2 linked regions of the Lonchura striata genome follow. The protein of the gene in region 2 purifies or fractionates together with the protein of the main gene of each other region. This does not show direct contact. Links are inferred from orthologs where the notes say so. Each region holds a gene or a part of one and is shown on either strand. Other genes may lie near its edges.

Region 1 (11,478 bases), on a different chromosome or scaffold from region 2:
GGCTACACACTCATCCCTGAATTCATGGCAATGGTTTGATGGGTAAGCACTTGCTTTTGGAAGAGTTATCCTGGGAACAGCTGCTGAACAACAATTGGAACTTCTCTGTAAAAGGGATTCAGTGGGACTATTTGTTTCTGCAATTTCATGTTGTGTATTTGTTCACGAGTCTTTCCAAAGCAGTTAGCTTATGTTTTATGCAGAAGGCTAGCTTCATAATTAATCAATGTCTGAATAACAAACTAGATTTTCGCAATGCTTAAAGATGACAGATGTGGGACACATACGGTTTGTAGAGCACGCAGGGAGCAGATCCTGCTACAAGTTAAAAGCAGAACGGGAAAAATACACCTTTTGTAAGGAGGAAACATCTGAAGAAGGCCCAGTCAGAACTAAAGTCACATTAGGATTATCTTTGCTAAAACCAATGGTTTCTGCCCAGGTCTGTTTTAGCTTTCACAGGATCCCAAAATGATTTGGGTTGGAAGGGACCTGAAAGCTCATCCAGGGACACCTTCCACTGTCCCAGGCTGCTCCAAGCCCTGTCCAGCCTGGCCTGGGACACTGCCAGGTGTCCAGGGGCACCCAGAGCTGCTCTGGGCACCTGTGCCAGGGCCTGCCCACCCTCCCAGAAAGGAACTTCTTCCCAGGATCCCATCTATCCCTGCCTTCTGGCAATGGGAAGCCATTCCCTGTGTCCTGTCCACTCAGGCCCCTGTGAAGTCTCTCTCTACCCCTCTTGCAGGCTCTCTTCAGGCACTGGAAGTGAGTCCTAACTTGGTCCTGAGAGCACCCAACATCTCAGATACATCCACTGTGGAATCCAGAATGTTGCACCAGAAACATCAAGCCTAGACCAGATCATGAAAGGGAAGGAACAGAAATCTCCCAATGAATTTGCAGAAGGTGTTAATTACAGAAAAAAAATCTTAAAAAAGGAACGCAGAGCAGAGAATATAAAAAAATCCAAATCAAAACCCACCAAATCTCTGCTGTCCAAGACAAGCCAAATGAGACAATAACCACATTGTGGCAGCAGAGAAGGGAGAGCACTCCTTGACATTCCAACTGCATGTGAAAGAAGCAAGCGGTGTAACACAACCAAAGCAAGAGGCTGCTTTTTGAGAAGCACATCAGCCAAAGGAAATAAGTGCTGGGATCTATCTCAGCACTAAGTAACCCCTTGTGGGATGAAAATCTGAAGAAACAGCTGTGAATGAAGCTAAAGTTCCAGGTGGGCAATGGCACAACTTTTTCCTTCCTTTTTTTTTTAACTTTCCAACTTTACAGTTGAACATTTAACCTTTTACCTTTACTGGAGTGTCGCCAATTTACTGGTATTCTTTCATTTTGATGGTATTAGGAGCAGTCTTGGAGTCACCTGACAGACAAAGGCTGAAACCATGCACAAGAAAATACTACAGCCTATGGCCTGGAACATCACCGACCTTCCTACCACCCAAAACACTCAGGGAAGAGTCGGGCTACAAGTTTTCCACTACAGTGCAGTTTGGGTTTGGCCAGATACCAGGAGGATGAAGAAGAGCTTGTCTTGGCAGAGCTCCTTTGGGCAAGAAGCAAACGAGCTAAGAAAGCAGTTTATAACTGAGGGCTGATGACAAGAAATCAAGTCCATCAAAGAATATGTCTGGGAAGAAGAATTCTCCTCTAAACAGTATCATTACTGGAAAACAAAGATCAATGGTTGCAATGGCTGGCTGCAGGTGTTCTACCCCAGTTAGTGCCCTGCAAGGTCTGTATCTTACTCACTGCTGTCATTCTAACACCAAAATATTATTTATCTTCATAATATGGGAACAGTCAATGTTCTAACAAAGGGCATGGAACAACTTCAGGTGAGTTTGAATCTTATTATACCTTTTCTAGTAGTTTTACACTAAGCTATTTGTTCCCTACTACTAAACCATACATCCTGTAATTCACCCCTATGTTGATGAGGTAGGACATGACAGAATATTTATCTCTTAAAAGGATAAAGTCAAACCTGATCTGAGCTTGTGCAGGGAAAAATTGTATCTGGTGAGGACAGCAGAGTGATGGATTCAATGCTGAGAAGTATGAGTACTTCTTTAGTTCCATCCCAACAGAGGATTCTCATAGACAGACTTGGAGCAGCACGTGGAGCAGCATTACATTAATTGCACAATGCAGAAGCTGCTACAAATGAAAATGAAGCAATTTTTGGAGTACTGAGAGACCCTGTTTTGCCTGGTCTCCAGTCGGTCTGGGAAACACAGTTCTGCTTTGTGCGGGAAAGATGTTGTCCAGGAAATGCTTTTCATGTTTTAAAAACTACACTCAAGGATTTTTATAACTTCGATAAAAGCGAACTGCTGCTCACAGAGAAAGTTGTTCCTCTCCACAAAGCATTTACTTCAACCAATCCGTGGTTTATTACACAGGTCTGAACAAGTCAGAAATGGAAACAGTTTAGAAAAAGGAAAAAAATAATCACAAAGTTAGAAGCGCAAAAGTATCTGCATATGTCTGAACCCCCCTTATCTGGATCATGTTTTATATGGTGTCACAGTGGGATACATGATGCCACTTTGGTGTAAAAGAGAAAGTGACCACATCTGTGTATTTGTTATCTACCACCACAACAGCAAAGCTGGTTTGGGCGAGTGATTGGCAGATCCGGGAACAATAAGGAAATTTTAGACAAATTGTGTCTATGTTAAAGGCCTCAAAAAAGCCTTCAAAAGAGTTTCATTTTGAGTCCTTTGCCATGGGCAGTTTTAGTGGTACCAAAATGCTGCTGTGTGCAAGCTTCAGGAAATCCCAAAGGACCTGGCTTGTAGAGTGAGAGAAAAAAACAGAGAGCTCTACGAGGCTTATGCTCGCAGGATGCATTGAGGGTCCCTGTTCCATTCACAGGTCAGGGGAAAGGCCTGGGCTGTGGGGTTTGAGGCTGTCCTGGGCTGTGGGGTTTGAAACTATCCTGAGCTGTGGGGTTTGAAACTATCCTGGGCTGTGGGGTTTGAGGCATTCCTGGGCTGTGGGGTTTGAAACTATCCTGAGCTGTGGGGTTTGAGGCTGTCCTGGGCTGTGGGGTTTGAGGCTGTCCTGGGCTGTGGGGTTTGAGGCTGTCCTGGGCTGTGGGGTTTGAAACTATCCTGGGCTGTGGGGTTTGAGGCTGTCCCGGGCTGTGGGGTTTGAAACTATCCTGGGTGTGGGGTTTGAGGCTGTCCCAGGCTGTGGGGTTTGAAACTATCCTGGGCTGTGGGGTTTGAGGCTGTCCTGGGCTGTGGGGTTTGAGGCTGTCCTGGGCTGTGGGGTTTGAGGCTGTCCTGGTCTGTGGGGTTTGAGGCTGTCCTGCCCACGGGCTCAGCCACGCTCCCTCCGCACTGTCGCTGGGTGAGCCAAGGGAAGGAAGTGACACAGGCAGGAAAAGCCAGCGGAGCAGGGAAGGCTGCAGGGAGCAGGGCCTGCGCCCCCAAACCCGCAGAGCTCACCCCGCACAGCTCAGGGCCGCAGATCCCCCTTCTCCAGCCTGCCAAGGAGTGTCCAGAGGGAAACAAACCCCAGGAACCGCTCCAGGTGAGTGGCTGAACCACTGGAGCTCCTGCAAACTCTGCCACCAATCACCCCACGCGTCCTTCAGGTGGGTTATGGAACCAGATTATGGTGGAACGGTCCATGAAATTGTATTTTTTCATTCTGCCCTCACATGTTTACAAACACAGGTCCAATTGCTATTGGAAGACACTTTCATGGAAATCCAAGTTCCTACTTCTAAACCATTTTAATATAGAAGGACCCTGCTACTCTAAACAGAGTGCATTACACTATTCCTCTTTGTAGCAGAGAAATCTAGTGATGGATTTGCATGAATTTGTTGTATTTACAAATCAAAACAGAGTAAAGAGATATTGAAGTAGTTGTAGAATAACATTTGCAACGCTTTTTGAATTTAAAGTATAAAAGCTAATTATGCATACAGACTAAATGAAGGAGAGTCTCAGAAAACTAAACTTGGTTGTTGGGAAGAAACGTTTAAGTTGTAGCCCATGAAACCATGAAACTCCAGACTTAGAAAAGCAGGAATTTCCTTGCCAATAAGCAAGTATAAGTTAAGTTCTGGTTTAGAGCAATCAAAAGTTTAATTCTAGCACCTCTCTTTAAGCTGAAAAAGAAATTAGGAAGCACAAGACCCCCTCCCTAAGCAGTTCTTTATACAGGACATACACTTCAAATCCAAATTAATTTTACTTAATCAATCAAATTCAGTCATGGCAGCTCCTCATAAGAACTTTTTCCTCTTGAAAAAGAGTTCTTCCAACTCCGTTGCTTGTTTTTACATGTGGCCGTCTGGGCTAAGAATGGCAAATGAGAACTCGGGGGGGGTTCCATAAAGGCAAATCTTTCGCGATGGACTCCCAAGCTGCACGTAACACTAGAAATGTCTCCAAGTCAGCCTGAGCACACCTCCCGTCCCGTAAGAGCCGCGTCGGGAGCGGAGAGCCCCGCGCTCGGCGGGGCACCGCACCTTCGGCAAGACCCGACTTTTGCCACTTCGGCCAAATCCTAGCAAATGCACCGCTCCCCCCCGGCGGCGCCCGGAGCGGGGCCCGGCCGAGCCCCGCGCCCCGTCCCGCCCGCAGCGGCCCCGGCCCGTGACGCGGCCCCGGCCCCCGGGGCTTCTCCGCCGCTGCTCACCCATGTCCGCGGGCGGCGGCCCCGCTCGCGGCGGGCGCTGCGGAACGGCGCTGTCACCGCCGCGGCTCCATGGCGGCCGGGCCGAGGGGAGGGCTCACAGCCGCCGCCGCCGCCACATTCCCAGGCCCCGCGCCGCCGCCTGCTGCCGGCGGCCGCGCTCCGGGAGCGGCGGGCGGGCGCTGCGGTGCGGCCCGGTGCCCGGTGCGGCCCGGAGCCCGGTGCGGCCCGGTGCTGCCCGGTGCCCGGTCCGTGCGGGCCGGCCGCGCCGCCGCCGCCCGCAAAACAAACCGCTCGGCGGCCGCCGCGCACCCGCCGCCTCCTGCCAATCACAGCGGCACCCGCCGCCGCCCGCCAATCAGCGCCGACGCGGCGCCCGCCCGACGGCGCTGCTGGCCAATGGGCGCGCGAGCAGCCGCGCCGCCCGCCCCGCCTCCCCGCGGAGCCGGCTGTCAATCACGGGGTCCGACGCGCCGCGGCGGAGCCACGCCCCCCGGCCGTCAGGAGGCGGGGCCTCACAGACCACGCCCCCCACGCGGCTGTCAGTCAGAGTGACGGACGGCGGCGCGGCTCCGCCCACGGGGGCCGAAAGGAAAAATGGAATTTTGTTCTGCCCGTGCTGCACCTGCACTGAAACACCTCTGCGAACCAGGCCGCAGGGCTAACGAGAATAAATGTTCTCTTAAAATTAACTAATAAATTATAATTAAAAAGTCATCCTGGACTGCGTCTGATGCAACTACCGGGTAACTGTTCACACAGCACAGTGTGCTGTCATCATGTAGCCTAAGCCAGGAATTCTCTGAATCGTGAATGTTTTGGCTTGGAAGGGACCTTAAAGATCATCTCGTTCTCCCCTCTGCCACAGGCTGTGTTTAAATGAATCAAATCTTTTAAAGCAACCCCCAGCCTGCCCCCTCCCAGCTTGTGTCTGTCCCACCTGCAGGATGGAATTTTCAGTGTCCTTCCCACGAAGGAACGGCAGAAGGGGTTTGTTGTTTTGAAAAGAAGCCCAACCCGACTCCCTGTTGTGGTCAGGGCCGCCCTGCTGCTGGGAAACCCACCTGGAGCAGATGTTTCAGCTGCTGCTTCTCAATCTGCCAAACGCCTGGCAGGGCTCTGCTCACAAACGGCACAGCAGCAATGTCAAAGGGGTCACGGAACCCGGAGAAGAAAACTAGGCTGGAAAGGGAAATTGCTCAAAAGTGTGATCAAGTGCAGGAATCTGAACCTACACATCAGGAGGAATTTGGGACTTAGTCAAAACATGACAACATTATCTGTAATGTAATTTAAAATTTTTATTTATTTTCACTGTCGAAGTAGTAAAAAGCTCTTAGAGTATCATACCAGGTAGACACGGAAATAGGAAAAGGGATCCACAGACACAGCCACTTTCCCTTCTTAATACAAGCCTTGTATTTGTGGTATCAAGCTGGTAGCTTTTTGTCCCTGTTCCAGTTTGAATTTCTCTCTCATTCAACAGCATCATTATTGATCTTGGAACCACTTTTTGACATGCTGTTTCACAGCTTCATGATGGCTTATCACTATCTTTTATCAACCACTAAATCTCAGTTTCCTTTCCTTACTAATTTCCAATAAAATACTCTTGGTATCCTCCACAGTCTCCTCCTTGTCCCTAAATTCACATCCTTGCACTCTCTGCTGCCACATTTAATCTCATCTCTATTTCTCACTCTTCAGTCATCCAATCTCCAAGATACTCAGTTCCCTCATATTACTGAAGCCTCCCACTTTTGTTCATCACCAAATTTGATTTTAATGCTGGCTCTTTGTGCCAGGATCATTATAAAAAGGCTTTTCTAAGAGAGGGAAGAGCCCACCCATACCCCGGGAGGCAGAAATTTAGTATCAATTCCCCACTGCACCAGCCCTGATTTTAAACCAGTCCATCATCACCTCACCATTTGCTATTTTTGCCTAGCTTGGCCTGCTAAATGAGAATGATTCCATGTCCTTTGTGCAGAAACTTGCTTTCCCAAGTCCAAAAGATAGTAGAGTGGCAAGTGGCAGCTTGTGACAGGAGCCAGAAGCTCCTGGCAGATGGGAGAAGACACACTCTGGTGGAACTCGCTCTTCCCACCTCCAACTGCCCAGGGCATCTGCATTTCACTGAAGCTTCCCCGCATCTTTTACCAAATTGAAAATAGAATGATTTGTCCTTAACAGCTCATCACTTCACCCACCTGTCAAGCCTAATGTGTAAACTAACAATTTTATTTCTTGATTTGTGGTTTCCCCATTTTACAGACATTCTCGCATCACTATCTACATGCAAGTGCCATCAGGACTTTTTTTGACCACTACAGACCCTCACACCTTTTTTTTTCCCCTCACCAAGCTGCTAAATCTTTCCTGAACTGGAATCCAAATTTCTACCAGAATCAGCGCCCCTTTTTTGTGTAACTTGAGAAAAAAAAATAATTCCTTTCTGACTTTTACTGTGTACTTAATACTGTACTGGTTTTGTGCATAATCACAGAACCCCAGAAGGGTTTGGGTTGGAACGGGCCTTAAAGACCCCCCAGTGCCACCCTGGCATGGCAGGGACACCTTCCACTGTCCCAGGCTGCTCCAAGCCCCATCCAGCCTGGCCTTGTGCACTGCCAGGGATCCAGGGGCTGCTCTGGGCAACTGTGCCAGGGCCTGCCCACCCCCACAGAGAGGAAATATCCCATTGAATCCTTCTCTCTATCAGTCTGAACCCAGTTCTTTTTGTCCTGCCATTGCAGTTCCTGATGAGGATCAGGTTGTTTTACAGTAGTTGATATTCCGTGGTTTTCCACCTGAATTGTCCACATCCTTCCAAAGCTGCAGCTTTCAGCAGAGAAGCTTCACTCCTGTAAACAGCACCTGCAGAACACACTTAATTCTTGAATTTATTCAGATTGTCTGATGCCATTTAATATAAAACCATCAGTAAAGATATTCACAAAGACTCTCCAGTCTGTGACTCTGTGTTCCCAGTCAGCCCATTTGTTTTAAAAGAACTTTATAAGGCCTAATAGTTCAATGCTGTCACACAGCATCAACTAAGAAAAGGAAGTGCAATCCCTATTTTAGGGACTTAAGGGCATTGTACAGAAAGTCAGCGACTTGTTAGAAGTTACACAGGAAATCTGGAGTAGACCTTTGGGGCATTTTCTGAAGCATACCTGACTCAAAGAGCCCCTTTTCCTTGCTATCAGATGTGCTGTTTCTTCTTTCCTTCCTGCTTCCCTTCTTGTTTAGGTAGACACATCCTTCCTGGGGAGCTGAGCAGGCTCCAGGCTGAGCCTGCTTGTCCCATGCCAAAACTTCCTTATTCTACATCTTGGACTCCACAGCCACAGAAGGGAGCAAGGAGGAGAAACTCTGTAAACAGAACTGGAGAATCCTTCAATGGTTTGGGTTGGAAGGACCTTAAAGCCCATCCATGCCACCCCCTGCCACGGCAGGGACATCTTTCACTGTCCCCAGGTTGCTCCAAGCCCTGTCCAGCCTGGCCTGGGACACTGCCAGGGATGAGGGATCCGATCTTCAAAGGATGCAAGAAAGGGTCTTGCACTGTTTTCAGCAGATGTAAGAGTAATCTCATTAATCCCAGGCAGTTCTTGTCTCTCCTAAAAGTTTCTTGTTGTGTTCTCAGCTTTGAAAACAAAGAGGATGGAACACCATCACCATTACCCAGCTGTAGGACAGCATGGCAGGATATATATGGGCCCAGATGCATCTCCCCCCCCAGCAGAGACATGAATCACCTGGAACTCCTGTAAAACGCCTGCAGCAGCCGTTCTCGGCCGGGAGAAGCAGGTGTGCCCCGGAGCTTCCTGCTGCCACGGCTGGGCCTGGCTGCCAGCAGCATTCCAGCAGAGGGGGCTCTGAAGCTGCTTAAAAACCAGAAGCTGCTCTGCCTTTGGAATGGCAAAATCAGAGAAGGAAGGGGAGGAAGAACGTTAAAAATATTATATGCTTTTAGATCATTACTTCCTCTGAGCTGACAGTCTGGACTGTTTCTAAAACAGCACGAGTGAAAAAGCTCTAAATTAAATGCTTCTCCCAGTCACAGGCCCCAGAATAATCTCAGAGATCACTTTTTTTCTACAGCTATTGCTGTGCATTGTGTTACCACGGAGGGCTTCTTTCAAGTATTTTCGAGCCCTTTACTGATTACTGATTAATTATGTGCTTGCCACTTACAGCTTGTTTACCAGAGCAGGGACTTTCCCACGGTCACAGAGCAAGACAGCTGTGCCAGATGTTGGTTGTTCCATAATATTTGTCTTTTTCCACCTACGTTCCTCTACATCATTTTATGGCACTTGTTTTGCCACACTGACAGGCAACCTGCTTCACCCATTATCCACCAGTCCACCACTTTTTGCTCTGCTCCAATTTGCACAAGCTACCTCCTTCCACCATAGTGGCAGGTGAGAAAGTTTCTCTGGAGTATTCCAAAACACAAATCCAGGGACAAAAATAATCTGTGAGGATGCAAATACATTTCTAGGGTGAAAGACAAACACTTCTTGGGAAAAAAGTATTTTTTCTGAGCAGGAGTTACTAACACAAAGTCCATATATAGCTTAAAAACCACTGCAGCATCTGCAGACACTCTTGCCACTGTGGCCATGAAGCTTAGTAAGCTTTTATTTCAAAGCCAGTACACAAAGAATTAGAAAGAAATCCAACCGTTCAGTTGAACTAGATTTAATCTAAATACTTAAGGAAGTCATCAGTCCTGCTTGCCAAGGCCTAAGGTACAAATTTCCAAGCTCTGCCACACAATTCTCCTCTTGGCCCCAATTCCGGACACAACAGCAGTGACTGAGTGTGTGGAAAAAATACCCTTTAAGAGAGGTCACCCTGCCCAGGAGAGACTTAAAGCTACAGAAGTGCCCAATTGCTTCATTTTCACTTTGCCTATATTAAAAATCCCTCAGAGACTGATTATTTGAATTCTAAAAAAAAAAACCCCAAAAAACAAACAAACAAACAAAAAAAACAAAGTCTCTCTTCCCCTCGTCTTAAAAACAAAACCACACAGCAGATAATTCCCATTTTTTTTGTGCCGGGAACAAGCAAAGTGTTGGAAAACACGTGCAGAAACAACACTGGAATACACAGACCCTGCAGAAGGCTTTTAAGAAAGCCAATATTTAATGTACAGCTGCATTTTTTGTTGTAGTTCTGTTGTGACTGGGTTACTAATAATTTATTTGGGGAAACTTGCAACTTAAGAGTAGCTGGAATTATCAAGTTTGTTTGGGTATTTGTAGGACAAGGGATCAATATACTTCACCAGCTTTGCAGAGGCAAGGCAAAGCAATCCACCTCTTCTTACAGCACCTAACTGCACACAGCAGAAATGAAGTTCATTTGTAGCTCCCTGCTCCCCCCAGGTTTTCACTCATCACACAGGGAACTGCAGTCAATCTACAAATGTTCCGTTTTTATTACAAAGTATGAAAGGCAGAAAATACTGTACCTAATACACAGGAGGCCGAAACTTAGAAAGAAGGTTAAAAAATCTGAATAAAACTACATAGGAAGCAGGAAATAGCATAAAAGGATGCAACATTCCACTTTCAAGCAAGTTCAGAAAATTGCCTTAAAATTTACAGTTTCAACTATATGGTTCCATGACTCAGGTGTTAAAATCCATTGTAACAAACCCTTTTATATTTCTCCATAAAAATAAAGGAATATAGGGACACTGCAGTTATCCATGTCAACAATATATATCTGTTGAATAGCAGGATACTGGGACTCCTCTAGGACAGAATAGTAGCGAAGTTGCAGGTGGAGAAAAGGACAGAAGTAAAATTACTATTGCTTTAACATACTCTAGTGAGAACAAGAAGTCAGGAATCTCATATGGATGTTTGTACAATCATGCTACAAAGATTACACCTTCAGGAAATTACCACAACGGGACTGTGAATGGGGAGAGCAGAAGGGAAAACACACCTAAAAGTAGTATCTCCTACCCAGCTACTGGTAACAAAAATGCTTCGGCGCAATGGATTTAAATTACATTTTACACTGCTAGCAACCCAAGGGTTAAAAAAAAGATATTTTTAAATAGTAGATTTCATAATTCCTATTTCCCAAGTTGTCAAAAAAAGCAACATACCTTTTTCCAGCTGCACTGGGACTCTGTCCTGCTCTGGTTCTTGCCTTTCTGCCTTGCTAAGATTCCACAGAGCCACCCTCAGCACGAAGAAGGGTTTGGAGTTGCATGTGTTGCACATGGAAAGCAAACTCCAAGGAACGGGAGCTGGACCACAGGCTGCACATGGCCATAATATTTCTTTAGGAAATAGCTTTTTTTCCTTAATTTTGTTAGATTTCCTATAAAGAAATAAGCTTGATGGGAGCCACTGAGATAATTTTAAGTATTTTTATGACTGTGGAAATTCTCGCATGATGCCAAGTATTAGAGGCTGCACAAAAGGCCACTGAGGTCCTTGGCAGACACACTTGTCAAATGAAACAGGCAGCAGCAACTCTCACAGGTCCCTTCACATCTGATGTCTGCCATGAGTCAACAGATGAGCCTTCAGTGACTGGTATTTAGCTGCATTTCTAATTACTGTTCTTTTTACTGCTGGTGAAAGGTGCTGATTGGAAGTTCTGGAGATCTCTTCCAGAAAACAAACCAAGTCAGGGCCATTCTAAACTTTCCTCAATACCCTCAAGAATGAAACATTTCTGACTTCTTGGGTAAGCAGGGAAAGTACAGCTGCATCAGAAAGTGCTCTTTAAGTGCCACATACAATTAATTCCCTGGATTCC
Region 2 (11,890 bases):
AAAAATAAAATTAAATTAGAACTCAGATCAGATGCCAATATTCAGTGCTGTCCATGACACAAAGCTACATTTGAAATTTTATTTCCATTTCAGGTAACCTGGGGGGATCCACACACAAAACCATTTTTGTTATGCAGCCCAGTTCTGACCCTGCAACCAAAATTGTCCTGTGTGGGCTCAGCAGCTCCTCAGTCACTGCTGGGCAGGAACAGGCACATCCACAGCTCTGCCACACAAGGACCTTAATCAAAAGGTGCTTTAAAAGTTGGCCCTGCCACTGCACAACTGCTTGCTGTGGCTCTCACAGCTTGTGCTCTTCCACATGCTCCCTCAAAGAACAGAGAACATCACATTGCTCAATTGTGGATTTGGTGAAGGAAAAAGAATAAAACCCCAGCCAAGCCCTGAAACCAACAACATCCTCCCACTCCAAGGCAGAAATCTCAGTGCTGCTGCAGTTCCTCGGGAGGGAAGAGTCAGCTCTGTGCGAGGCAGATCCTGATGGAAGGTACCACACTTCAGAAGCTGAGAGCAGTCACCCTCACCACTCACACCACACCTGGTGCTCCTCAGACCTGTCTGACACAGAGAATAAATGGCTGCCAAGACCCCACGGGGTCCTGTGGGCTGCCTCAGCTCTGCTCTTGCTCTCCCTGCTGCAAATCTGAGAGAGAGGGGCCTGCAGCTCAAGTGAAAACCCCTGGGGGATGGAGAAATTTGGCTTCTGCTCTTCCAAGGAAGCCAGAGCAATGTTTGTCTCACCTGGATTCTGCTCTCCTGGAGTCCTGCAAGAGTCAAAGCAAAGCTCCCCTCTCCTTTATTCCCCAATTCCTGTGCCATGGCTGAGGCCTTTTCCAGCTGCTTTGCCTTATGGTTGGCTGCACTGCATCCTCTGGAAAGCTGCAACCACCCCACCACACTATGGGATTCTTCCAGATTAAAGTCATAGCAAACCTGAGCCCATAGCCATGACTCAAAAAGCACAAAGTAGCACTTCCACCCCCTGCTCCCCCCAACATCCTCCAAAGTTTTGGCACCTCGTGACACACACGCTTCTCTGCCCTCTGGATGCAACTAGAACACTTCAAAGATCCAGCTTAAATACATCATCTTCTTCTTCAGGAAAAAAAAAAAAAAAAAAGACAGCAAATTCTAGTCACCTGCTCTTTTTTTGTACATTCCCTTGGGTTTTGCTACTGAAAACAAGCAGGAGGCACCTGTAGACACCAACACTCATCGATCAAATTAGTGATCCTGGGAGAAACAAAAGCAAATCCTTTATTCCAAAAGAAATCAGGAGATGTGGACACTTCCACCACGGCAAATCTGCTGACAGCTTTGAGACAGAAGCACCACTCAGTGTCCAAAAACCCCAAACCCCACAGATTAAACTCTCCCCCAGGGTGACTCAGAATTCCAGGGGACACGGCCTCTCTTTACAAACTTATTTTCTGTGTTCACAGCTCTGCCTAAGGAATAGTGAAGATTTCCCACTTCTGGAACACCAGACTAACCTCAGGACACTCTTGCCAAGTTGCTGCAATCAAGCACTCCGTGCCCTTGCAAAGGTCACTCTGAAGGACCAGAAAATCAGGGTGACACAGCTGCAGCTGCTGGAGGGGCCACAGGTACCCCCGTCCAAGCTGCTGCAGGACTCAGGTACCTCCTGCTCCCTAAGGAGGGATGAAAACAGTTCCTCCCTCGCTGCTGAAGGGGAGCAGCTTCCCCGGGAATGCTGCCGAGAGCCTGACACCCAGCACCCGGAGCAAACACTTCTCCTTGGAGCAAACTCACCCTTGGCCATCGTGGAGCGGCAGAGCCCGGCAAGATGCCACCACCATGCCCGGTTCCTGAGCTGGGGACAGGCTTCTCCCCGGCCAAAGTGCCTTTTCCGCTACGTGTGTGCGTGTGTGGATCGCTCCCCGGTGATGTAAACACAAAGGCATGCGGAGCAGTGGGCGATATGTAAATGCAGCTGGAAAATCCCACAGCTCAGCCAATCTCCACGCTGCCTCCCAGCTTTGCCCCGGCTGCTCCGGGTTCAGTTCGGTGCAGGAAAAACATCCCTCTCCCAGCACACACGGATTTATTCCCCCAAACACAGAAAGCTCCTGAGACAGAAAGGCCCTTCGCTCGCTTTAAGGGGAGTTTGAGTTTCTCACCCTCATTTATAGTTCCCCAACTATTCAGAATTCTGCATGACAAACAGCATCGCGCTCTTTGCCTGGAGAGATGATCCAGGGAAACCCAGTGACCCAAAAAGGCAGAACTGGGGAGCAGGACTCGGCTGAAACACAGCCACTGGTGGTGGTGGGGGACTCCCACTGCCAGGACACCCCTCCCAGAGCTGGGGCAGCCCCAGGAGCAGGCACTGCCCCGCTCCAGCCCCCAGGACACCTCCTTCAAAGGCAGCTCTGAACCTCCAAGGCTGTGTGTGGCAAGCACATTTCTCTCTCAAGATTTTTCATAGAGGTGCACAGAGAGAAATGAAAGAGAAAACAATTTCTATTTCTGCTCCTTGTTTTGCCCATGTGGAATGTGTTTGGAGAATTGTTTACCTGGGGTGATTGCTTGATTAGATTCTGGTGAGGATTGTTTGAGCCTGACAGCCAATCCAACCCACCTGGGGCTGCGCTCTCAGAGAAGGTCACGAGTTGAGTTAGGGTCAGAGAAAGTAGTATGTAGTTTTAGTACCCTCCTTTTATATAGTATATTAATGTATTTTAGCATAGTTATAATAAAGAAATAATTCAGCCTTTTGAATTGAGTCAGACATCCTCATTTCTTCCCACTGGGTTCACCTGCATTTACAATAGCTGTGCTTGAGGCAAAGCAGGAGCAGCTTGAATGGGTAATTTGGGGTGCTGCTGCCTTTAGGCTCCAGGGGGACTTGTTGGGCTCAAAGAGGGGTGACACGTACCCGTGTGAGCATCCAGCTGCCTCCCTCCTTGTCCCAGCTTCCCTACACCCCCTGATCCAAGCCACGGGCACAGGGACTGCTGGTGTGTGCAGATAAAAACCGGGAGGGAAGAGCTCCAACAGACTGAACACGGACCAGGAAGGATTTTCTCTCCTGTGCACTCCTCCTGCCACACCTGGGCTTGGCCGGGATAACCCGTGAGAAAGGCACAGTCACGCTCCAGGAAATGCCACAGCCAGGCCAGCAGGGCTCGGAAGGTCCCTGGCAGCAGGGGAAGGCTCAGCCCTCGGGGTGACCGATGGCTGAACCCCACTGGGGCTGCAGAGCGCCCAGGAGCAGCCCCAGGAGCAGGGCAGGGCTGGCAGCAGCACACGGAGCTCTGCAGCCACCCAGAGCCTGCAGGGCTCCCCGAGGCCCTGGCAGAACCTCGGGGAAGGGAAGGGCTGACTGCAGGCAGGGGACACAAACTTCCACCTGCAGCTCACACGTGGCTCCAGGCCACCAGGGGCTGTGCTGCCCCAGGAGTGCTCACCCTGGAATCCCCCAGCTCAGGGAACCAAACCACCCCAAAACCATGGATTGGTTTGTTGTTTTTTTTTCCTTCCTTGAGCCCAATCAATATGAAAACCCCTGTTTGAGTATGAGCAATGAAGGTATCAGCATCCCCTGCCTGGAAACACCACTGTGGCTCAGGTTTCCCATTTCCACGGGGTAAAACGTTCCCTCCTTGAGGCAGTGTCGCCTGCACACAAACCAAACCCAGCGCTGGAGCTTCAGCCTGTCCCTTCCCTGCTCCACACAGGGGACCCAGGGCCTGGAGGGAATCCAGCAGACTGCAGACAGGACCCGCTCCTGCAGCTTCCTGCAGGATTTTAGGGATTTCCCTTGCCAGGGGAGGTGCAGGTTGCACATCAGGAGGAATTTCCTCATGGAAGGGGCTGCCCAAAGAGGTTTGGAGTCTCCATCCCTGGAGATGTCCAACGTGGCACTCAGAGCTCTGGGCTGTGATCAGTCACAGGATGGACTCTGTGGTTTTGGAGATTTTTTCCAACCTAAACAATTCTGGGATTCTGTGATCTGAGACTACTTTCACCCATCAAAGGCTTTCTGGAACCATCCTTCACCCCCAAACCCTCTCCTGCAAGCCCCACCATCCTCGCTGTGGCTGGAAGGAGCAGCCAAAAACACTTGAGGCCAAAATGCTGCAGCTTTTAAAGCTGTTTAAGAGGAACCCGAGTGCTCAGTGCAGCCTGGAAACACATCGCTGGGGGGGGAAAACACGCAGGGAGGCAGAATTACACTGCTGGGATTGAAACAAAGGCACAGCAACGTTACCAAAGTGGCAAAGACAACTGCTGGGTCACAGTTCTTGGGACAATTCTGGAGCCACTCCTGTAACACCCACCGGCCCTGCCGCTGCCTCTGAGCCCAGCAGAGCTCCAAAGGAAGGGGAACCCAAGGGAAATGCTCCCCGCTGCCCTTCCCAGCACACGGCTCAGGGATCCCAGAGTTTGGCAGCGTTTGTCAGCGGGACAGCGGCTGCAGCGGCGGGGGACAGAGCCCCAGAGCTGGCTTGAGGCGAGGTTGGCACAATGCACAGCCCATAAGGGCAGGGGACAGAGCCCCAGAGCTGGCTTGAGTAGAGGACAGGTCGGCACAATGCACAGCCCGCAGGTCACAGCCCCGACCCACACCTGCACCTCTGCGGCAGCCACGGAGAGCCACTCCCGGCCAGCCCACGCTGTGAACACTGTGGGCCCAAAGCCCAGCGAAACGAGGCTCCCGGGAGGGCAGGGAAACACCGGCAGCAGCAACACGTGCTGCGGTCGGGCACGGAACGGAGCGGAAAACGACAAAACCGAGCAGAAAAAGCCGCAGCTACGCGATGACACCCAGCCAACACACCGGCGGCAGTGAGCGGGGCCGGAACAGCGCAGAGGATGCTCCAGCTGCTCCGAGCGCCCCACAGAGCCGCCGGCACCCCGGGCACAGCGGGCGGCGGGCACCGGGAGCCTCCGCCGGCCCCTCCGCGGCCCGCGGCCCTGCCCCTCCCGTGGCGGAGCCGCCCGGCGCGGCCCGCCCGGCGCCCCCCGGCCCGCCCGTACCTCCCAGCGGCGGCGGCGGCCGCAGCGCCGGTGCCCGGTCCCGGCACATCGCGCCCGGGCCTGCTCCTCACCGGCGCCCGGCCCGGAACTGCCGCGCGCAGCGCTCCTCGGGACTTGTAGTCCCGTGCGCCGCTTCCTGCCTGTTCTGCCGAGTCGCATGGACTACAACTCCCAACACGCCCCGCGGAGAGCCACTCCATGCTACAACCGCTGTTGCTACTGGTTCTGCCCGGCCTACTGCAGTGACCAATCAGAAGGTGGCAACTACCGCCTCGGGCCACGCTGCGCTGCGCGTCGCCATTGGTGGAGAGGAGAACAGCGACCAATCAGCGCTGCTAGAGGTGGGGCGGTGGTCACGCCAACCGCTGGAGATTGGCTGTGCCCACAGCAGGCTGACCAATAGTGGCGTGGCAGTGGCCATAAAAAACGTAGCGTGGCGCGAGCACGTTCTTTCCAGCCAGAGGCGCGGCGCAGGAGAGGACGAGGGGTGAGGGAAGCGCGGCCGGTACCGGCGCTATTACCGAGGGCGGGCCGGTGATGATCCACACTAACCTTTCTGACACCTCGTCTGAGGGCGGCGGGCGGCCGCAGCCCCTGCTGAGCAGCCCCTGCTGAGGCCCGCGGAGCCGCGGCCCGGCGGGGCGGCCGGGCGGGCTCTGCCCTCACGCGCTGCCTTCTCTCCCCTCAGGGCTCGGCGGGAACCGGCGGCGGCGTCCCGGAGGCTCCGTGCCCCGTCCCGGCACTCCCCGGCGGTCTGGGCCGCTCGAAGGCGGCGTTCGTGATAGCAAAAAGGTTTTTAAATCGTGGGGATTTAGGGTTAGAAGGAAAATTAAGCTTATTAGGCCCTGAAAAAATACCCTGGGTACATGTAGGCCTTGTACATTGCTAGAACAGCACCTCTGTAGCTAGTACATTATAAATGATATAATTGTTAGATGTGATGATTGTTTAGTAATTAAATATAATTACTGTTTAATCGTAAGAATAATCATGAGAAACTGGTCAGAGGCCTAGGGAAGTTCACGAGAAACTCGTGCTTGAATAAAGTCAATGTATACAACAGAACAATGTTAGCTTAATAATTTGTAAGTTACAGCAAATATTAATGAATTAATAATTAAATATTAATTAATTAATAATTTAAATTCGCAAATATTGCCACTAATATTACATCTGTAATGTTAGAAAGTTATGCTGTATTCTCTTATGTAGTGGGCTAAATATAGTTTTAGGTTCCAACAGAAGGTTAAAATAGAGACGATGTTTGTGGGGGGAGTGTTTTTTTTTAGGAATGAGATACTCGTTTAGAGGAACACCTAAATCTTGAAAAGGAATTTATGGTTTTCTTATCAGAAGAAGCTAATTTCTTCAGGCCTCACTCGACTTGAAGGCGCCTTAGGGTTTAAAGGAAACAGTTGATATACCACAGAGAGTTCTTGTTTTAAATAAAATGTATGCATAGCCATGAGGAATATGTGAATATACAACAGGCCGTTGCTTTTAAGGTTATTCCTTTGTTCACAAGGGATGCTTTTTGTGACTTAGTGTCCGAGAGCATGATGTCTGTAATTCTTTGCTTTTTATTGTCTTGTAATTGTCCTAACTCAAAACTTTATTACTCTGATTGTATTACTACTTTTATAACCATTTTATTATTACTAAACTTTTAAAATTTTTAAAACCAAGTGATTGGCATTTTTCACAGAAGATAACAAATTACTCCTGTAATGTTTTCCCAATCTCAAGCTTTACTTGTAAATGCTTTACTACTGTATTTCAACTTTGGTTTCTATATAAAGTAAATTTTGTAGCTTACAGGTGAATAAAGTTTTGAAAAATCTGTTTTTTTCTTCTGTTTATCAGCATTTCTCCACAGACTGACTGGAAATGCTGTAACTGGAGTGCATTAAGTTTGCAGCACTTTGCTCAGCCCCACTCCCTTCTTTGCAATCTTGGGAGTCACTTTGGTTTGATGGCAACTCCGACACTGTGCCAGGGCTGGGCAGCCCTTTTTGGGGAGAAATTCTCCCAATACCCAGTTCAAACTGTTATTCCCTGGTTCTGCTGTGTAGATCCAGATGGTTTAGAGGCTGAGCTGAAATACTTTGAACGACTGACAAATGAAAATGCTGCTGTAGCCATGCAGAGTATTAAAAAATTTTATTAACAGGAATGAACTGAAAGCTGTAAACAAGAGCCAGCGGAAATGGAATGTTGCAGGTGAGGCCGAGTCCTCGCACGTGGCTGGGTGCACCGAGCAATTAACTCGAATAATTAATAATTAACTTTGCTGAGCAGTTCCGCGTGGTGGCAGCAAAGGCCCACGGAAAATCCCAAATGGCCGGAAAATCCCAAATGGCCGTGAGGAGGAGCTTCGGGGCCAGGCCAGTGCGGGCACTGGGAAACCAGTCCCACACTGGGAGCTGGTGACTGGGAGGGAGCAGCTGAGCCTGCTCCGGGTTCAGGGCTGAACCACAGGCAGGCTGGAATGCGCTGAAGGGAATCATTTACATCTTCCCCAATTACAGGAGTTTTTATTGGGTTTACACCCGCATTGAGAGAGAAGTGAGCAGTTGCCAGCTTTGTAACCAGACAATGCCAGTCTGAGGGAGAGGGAAGGTAGCAACGTGATATTAGGAATCCTAATCCATTAGTAATCTCAATTTTGCCTTTTGGGAGGCTCCTTGTCCCTTCAGAATTGGGCTGCTGCTGCTCCAAGGGCAGGATGAGGAAACAGTTGTGGAGCTGCCTGGCTGTTCCCTGCCTCTGCCAGGCTGGTCCTGCCTCACAAAACCAAATTTGCCCTGAGAGCCCCCCCATCACTCAGCTCACCTGGCTGCTCCTGCAGGACTGGCAGCAGAGTTTGCCAGGAATGCAAACGTTCCTGCAAGAAAGGGTTTTCCACAGGTATTTTTAAAATTTAAATCAGACAACTTCAAGATTTATCTCTCCCTTAAAATACCATTTAGGGAAAAGCTGGTTTAAGATCATTTTTCATCCTGTGAAGCTGTAGCTCCTTGAGGAGTGAAGCTCAGAGCATGTGGGAGCTGCAGAGGCTCCTCGTGCCCATCGGGAAGGTGGTGCTGGAGCCAAAATCCCAGGAAAAACGAGAGGCAGGAGGATCTTGAGTCAGCAGCTGTGGGGGTGTGCTGGCTGGAGGGCAGAGATGGGTTATTCTGCTTCATTTGGAGGAGCCACCGAGGCTTGGCACGGCGGGCACCTGCTGATGTGCGCGTGGAGTTTTCAAAGGGAAAAATCGCCAAAGGCCAAACACTTCATCCAGATTCAAATCCGTACTGAGAAGTGCAGCTTGACAAAAAAAACAGCCAAAAGCCTGACACAGACCAAAGGGGTGAGGAGGCCCTTGAAGAGAGCTGGCAAGAGTCTGCAGCCTGTAAAATCACTGCCTGCAGCTTCCCCCCAGCTCTCTGCGGTGCAAAGAGAGAGCTGCCCGAGAGAACTTTGAAGATATCAAAGCGTTGTTGCAGTCTGAAAACACCATCACACTTACAGGAAGGTATTTAGAATAAGCTGCAATACATTAGGTTTCTTCTCAAAGTACTAGAAAGGCGGAAGGAGAAGAAGCAGAGCCTTTCCCAAAGGGATGAACATTCAGAAATCTCTGTACACAGCCAGGTGTGCAGGAGCTCACCTGGACAGCCAAGCTCTGCCTTTGCAGGGAACAGGAGAATCCCTCACTGTGGAAGCTTGTCCCACCTCACAGGGATGGACAGACAGGAGAAAACAACTACAAGAATGGCTGCCTTCAAACACATCCTGCACGCCCCAGGCCAGGGCTCTCAGCTGAATTCCAGGGACACAGGGCAAGAAAAGGGAATTCAGGACGTTCTCCTACCCAGAAAAAAATCAGGACTTCTTTCCTCCTAGGTGGGGAGAAGGTGTTGGTTCCCCTGCGTCACGCCCTGGCTCTCACGAAGGTTACAGCAGCCTCACAGAGCAGGCACAGGAGGAGACCCCAGCCCCTTCCCAAGCACCACCTCCCACCTGTGAGCAGGGCAGGAATGCTGGCCAGGGGAGCCGGAGCCAACGGGGCTGCAGAATCCCAGAGAGCTTTTCCTGCTGCTCCTGTGCCCTGGTCTCAGCTGGCCTTGGGGGCAGACACAGACACAACAGACAGACATGCACACACTGCCCACGGGCCTGAGTCTCTGCAAATGCACGTTAGGACCTGCAGCAGCCCGAGCCTCGCACTTCCTTCTTCACATAGTCGTGGAGTTTGAATTTGGGCTCGTTGGGCAGCTTCATGGACCTGTGCTTCAGCTCCCTGGAAAGGGGAAAGATGTTACTCTCATGCTGCTGCTTCTGGCAGGGAGAGGATTTTGTCTGGAAGGAGCCAGAGAGGGAGTTTGGACAAGGGCATGGAGTGAGAGGACACAGGGAATGGCCATCTATCCCTGCTGGCAGGGCAGGGATAGATGGGATCTCCGGAAGAAATCCTTCCCTGTGAGGGTGGTGAAGCCCTGGCACAGGTTGCCCAGAGAAGCTGTGGCTGCCCCTGGATCCCTGGAAGTGTCCAGACTTGACAGGGCTTTGGGATGGTGGAAACCTGCCATGGCAAGGCATTGGAACTGAATGGGCTTTAAGGTCCCTTCAACCCAAGCCATCCCAGGATTCTATGATTCCGAGCTGCCTTGCCCAGCTCAGTTGATCTCAGCGTGGCTTGGACACTGCTAAAGCTCCTTTGGATGACAAGGCCCCTGCTCTGGTCACTTACTTGGCGATGGCTGTGAACGCTAATTCCACGTTGAGGCCGCTCTTGGCGCTGGTCTCCATGAAGGGCACTCCGTACTCCTGTGGGATGAGACACAGCCCTGTCAGGAGTGGCACCAAGGGTGTTCCCAGGGGCTCTTGGGAGTAATTTTTGAGGACAGAATCAAGAGATACTAGTAGAAACTTAAAGGAAGAACAGATAAGGAGAAAGGGGAGAGCATGACAAGGGAAAAACACCGAGTGCTCCCAGGTGTATTTTGGGTCAGACTGGTCTCCAGGTGACCTGGTTCTCAGGGACATGCTCAGGTACCTCACCTACCTTGGCAAGCTTCTCTCCATCTTCCCTTTTCACCACTCTGTCTTGGGCTGAATCCACCTGCAACAGGAATGGCAAAGAGCAATTTGTGGTGATTTGGAAGGCCACCAGCAGGTACCTCCCTGTGCCCTCATGCCCTGCCAGGCTCCCCTGCCTGTGCCTCCAGCGTGGGAGGAAGAGGAGGCCGTGGCAAAGCCCAGGCTCACCTTGTTTCCCAGTAACATGAGGACCACATCCTGCTGTGCATATTCATGGATCTCTGTCAGCCAAGCCTGGAGGGACACAGCCAAAGAGAGGGGTTGGCAATGGCTCCAGGAGAAGGAGGGGAATGGGAATAATGGGGAGCTGCACCACTCCTGGCATGGACACCCTCAGTAGGCAATGCTGCATCCCAAACAATCCCAGAGATGATCCCTGACAACAGGGGGTACCCTGGGGTTCCCCTGAGCCCTGGGGGACCCACTTTGGCTGCTACCAGATCCCCATTTCCCAGGTAACAGCAGCTTTCTGACCTCCCCTGCCCATTCCATCTGGTGCTGTAGGGCTTTGACCCCAGTTTCCCCTCAGCTGGGATGTTCAGACTGAACCTCCTCTCAGAGGACAAGGCCGAGGGCTGGCTCTGGGATGTGCCCTGTGCCCGTGTCCTGCCCGTGCTGCCCCTGAGCCGTGGGGTGGCTTCCCTGCCCTTTAATCCAGCCTAATCCAATCAAACCTGCTCTAATTCCCTGTAATCCCTGACCCCGTGGTGTGAGCAGCCTCCTGCTGTCTCCAGTGCTGTTGCAGGGCTCATGGCAATTCCTGGTGGTCCTGGTGGTCCCTGCTCCAAACCCAGCAGGAACCCAGCACGTGAGGCTGCAACCTCAGGACAGCACTGCACCCAGGCTGGGCTCAGGGTGCTCCGTTCCATCGTGGGTTGGAGTCTCTCCTAACTCCCTTTGGCTGCTCTCTGCCCCCACCCCTCTCTCCAAAGCCTGGCAATTCCCCTGGGTGCTCGTTCCTTCCCACTGGGCTGTGTGTCCTGCAGGGACATCTCTCCTGTGTCCTCAGGATTGCTGATGCTGCAGGCAGGGCCGTGTTCCCCAGCAATGTGAAACCTCCACAGGATTTTCTTTCACAGGGCCACCAGCCCTGAGCAGACCCAGAGCCTGGGGGACACGGTGGGAAGCATTCCCAGCGCCGGTGACACGGAGCAGGGTGGCAGGACCTGCCCTGTCCCTGCCCTGTCCCTGCAGGCACAGAGGGGTGGCACGTGTGGTGCTGCCGAGGGAAGGATGCTCCGGAGCAGGGAGAGCTGCAGTCCCACAGGGGATCAAGAGCTGTGGGACCCCAGGAGCCCGTGGGACACATCCCAGCCCCAGGGTGTTGATGCCACCACAGCCCTGGGTGTGTGTGCAGGCACGGCTGCTCCCCGTGGATGCTCACGGCGTTCTCATGCCCGGGACACGAGCAATTACATCCAGTTCAGTCAGGGATAATTGCTCCCCGGCTCAGGACGTGCTCTGGCAGCGCTGGCACAGGTGGCCTCCAGCAGCCACACGGGGCCGGTGGGGCAGAGAGGGGACACTGAGTGCCCAGGTGTCCCTGACCCCCCTGCTGCCATGAGGCAGCATCTGCTCTCCCCCTCTGCCAGGCTGGAGAGCCCCAGCAGCACTGGCCAGCTGCCCTGAAGGACCCAGGGAAGGGGCAAACTTGGGCAGCACCAGGAAGCCCCCAAGGCTGCAGGAAGGGCAGGTGGGCTGGGACCCCCTCCCTGCCAGGTTTGGACTAAGCTGGGGTGGCAGTGAGGAGCCCAACCCCGACCCACTGTGACCTGGAGGA

Evidence for each region.
Region 1: the proteins of TRAF7 (region 2) and MAP3K3 purify together in Homo sapiens (affinity purification with mass spectrometry; 5 studies listed by BioGRID and IntAct, with this or other methods). This does not show direct contact. The link is inferred for Lonchura striata from reciprocal best matches to the Homo sapiens genes TRAF7 and MAP3K3.

What each region holds. Positions count from the first base shown.
Region 1 is NC_134627.1:8,988,693-9,000,170, forward strand, and holds the start of MAP3K3 (mitogen-activated protein kinase kinase kinase 3), read right to left. Parts: upstream 4,807-11,478; 5' UTR 4,685-4,806; coding exon 4,681-4,684; intron 1-4,680. UniProt on the Homo sapiens protein: Component of a protein kinase signal transduction cascade. Mediates activation of the NF-kappa-B, AP1 and DDIT3 transcriptional regulators.
Region 2 is NC_134618.1:16,959,780-16,971,669, reverse strand, and holds the start of TRAF7 (E3 ubiquitin-protein ligase TRAF7), read right to left. Parts: upstream 5,134-11,890; 5' UTR 5,026-5,133; intron 2,066-5,025; exon of another isoform or gene 1,795-2,065; intron 1-1,794. Other genes in the region: RAB26 (ras-related protein Rab-26), read right to left, coding at 9,208-9,310, 9,761-9,837, 10,076-10,132, 10,279-10,344. UniProt on the Homo sapiens protein: E3 ubiquitin and SUMO-protein ligase that plays a role in different biological processes such as innate immunity, inflammation or apoptosis. Potentiates MAP3K3-mediated activation of JUN/AP1 and DDIT3 transcriptional regulators.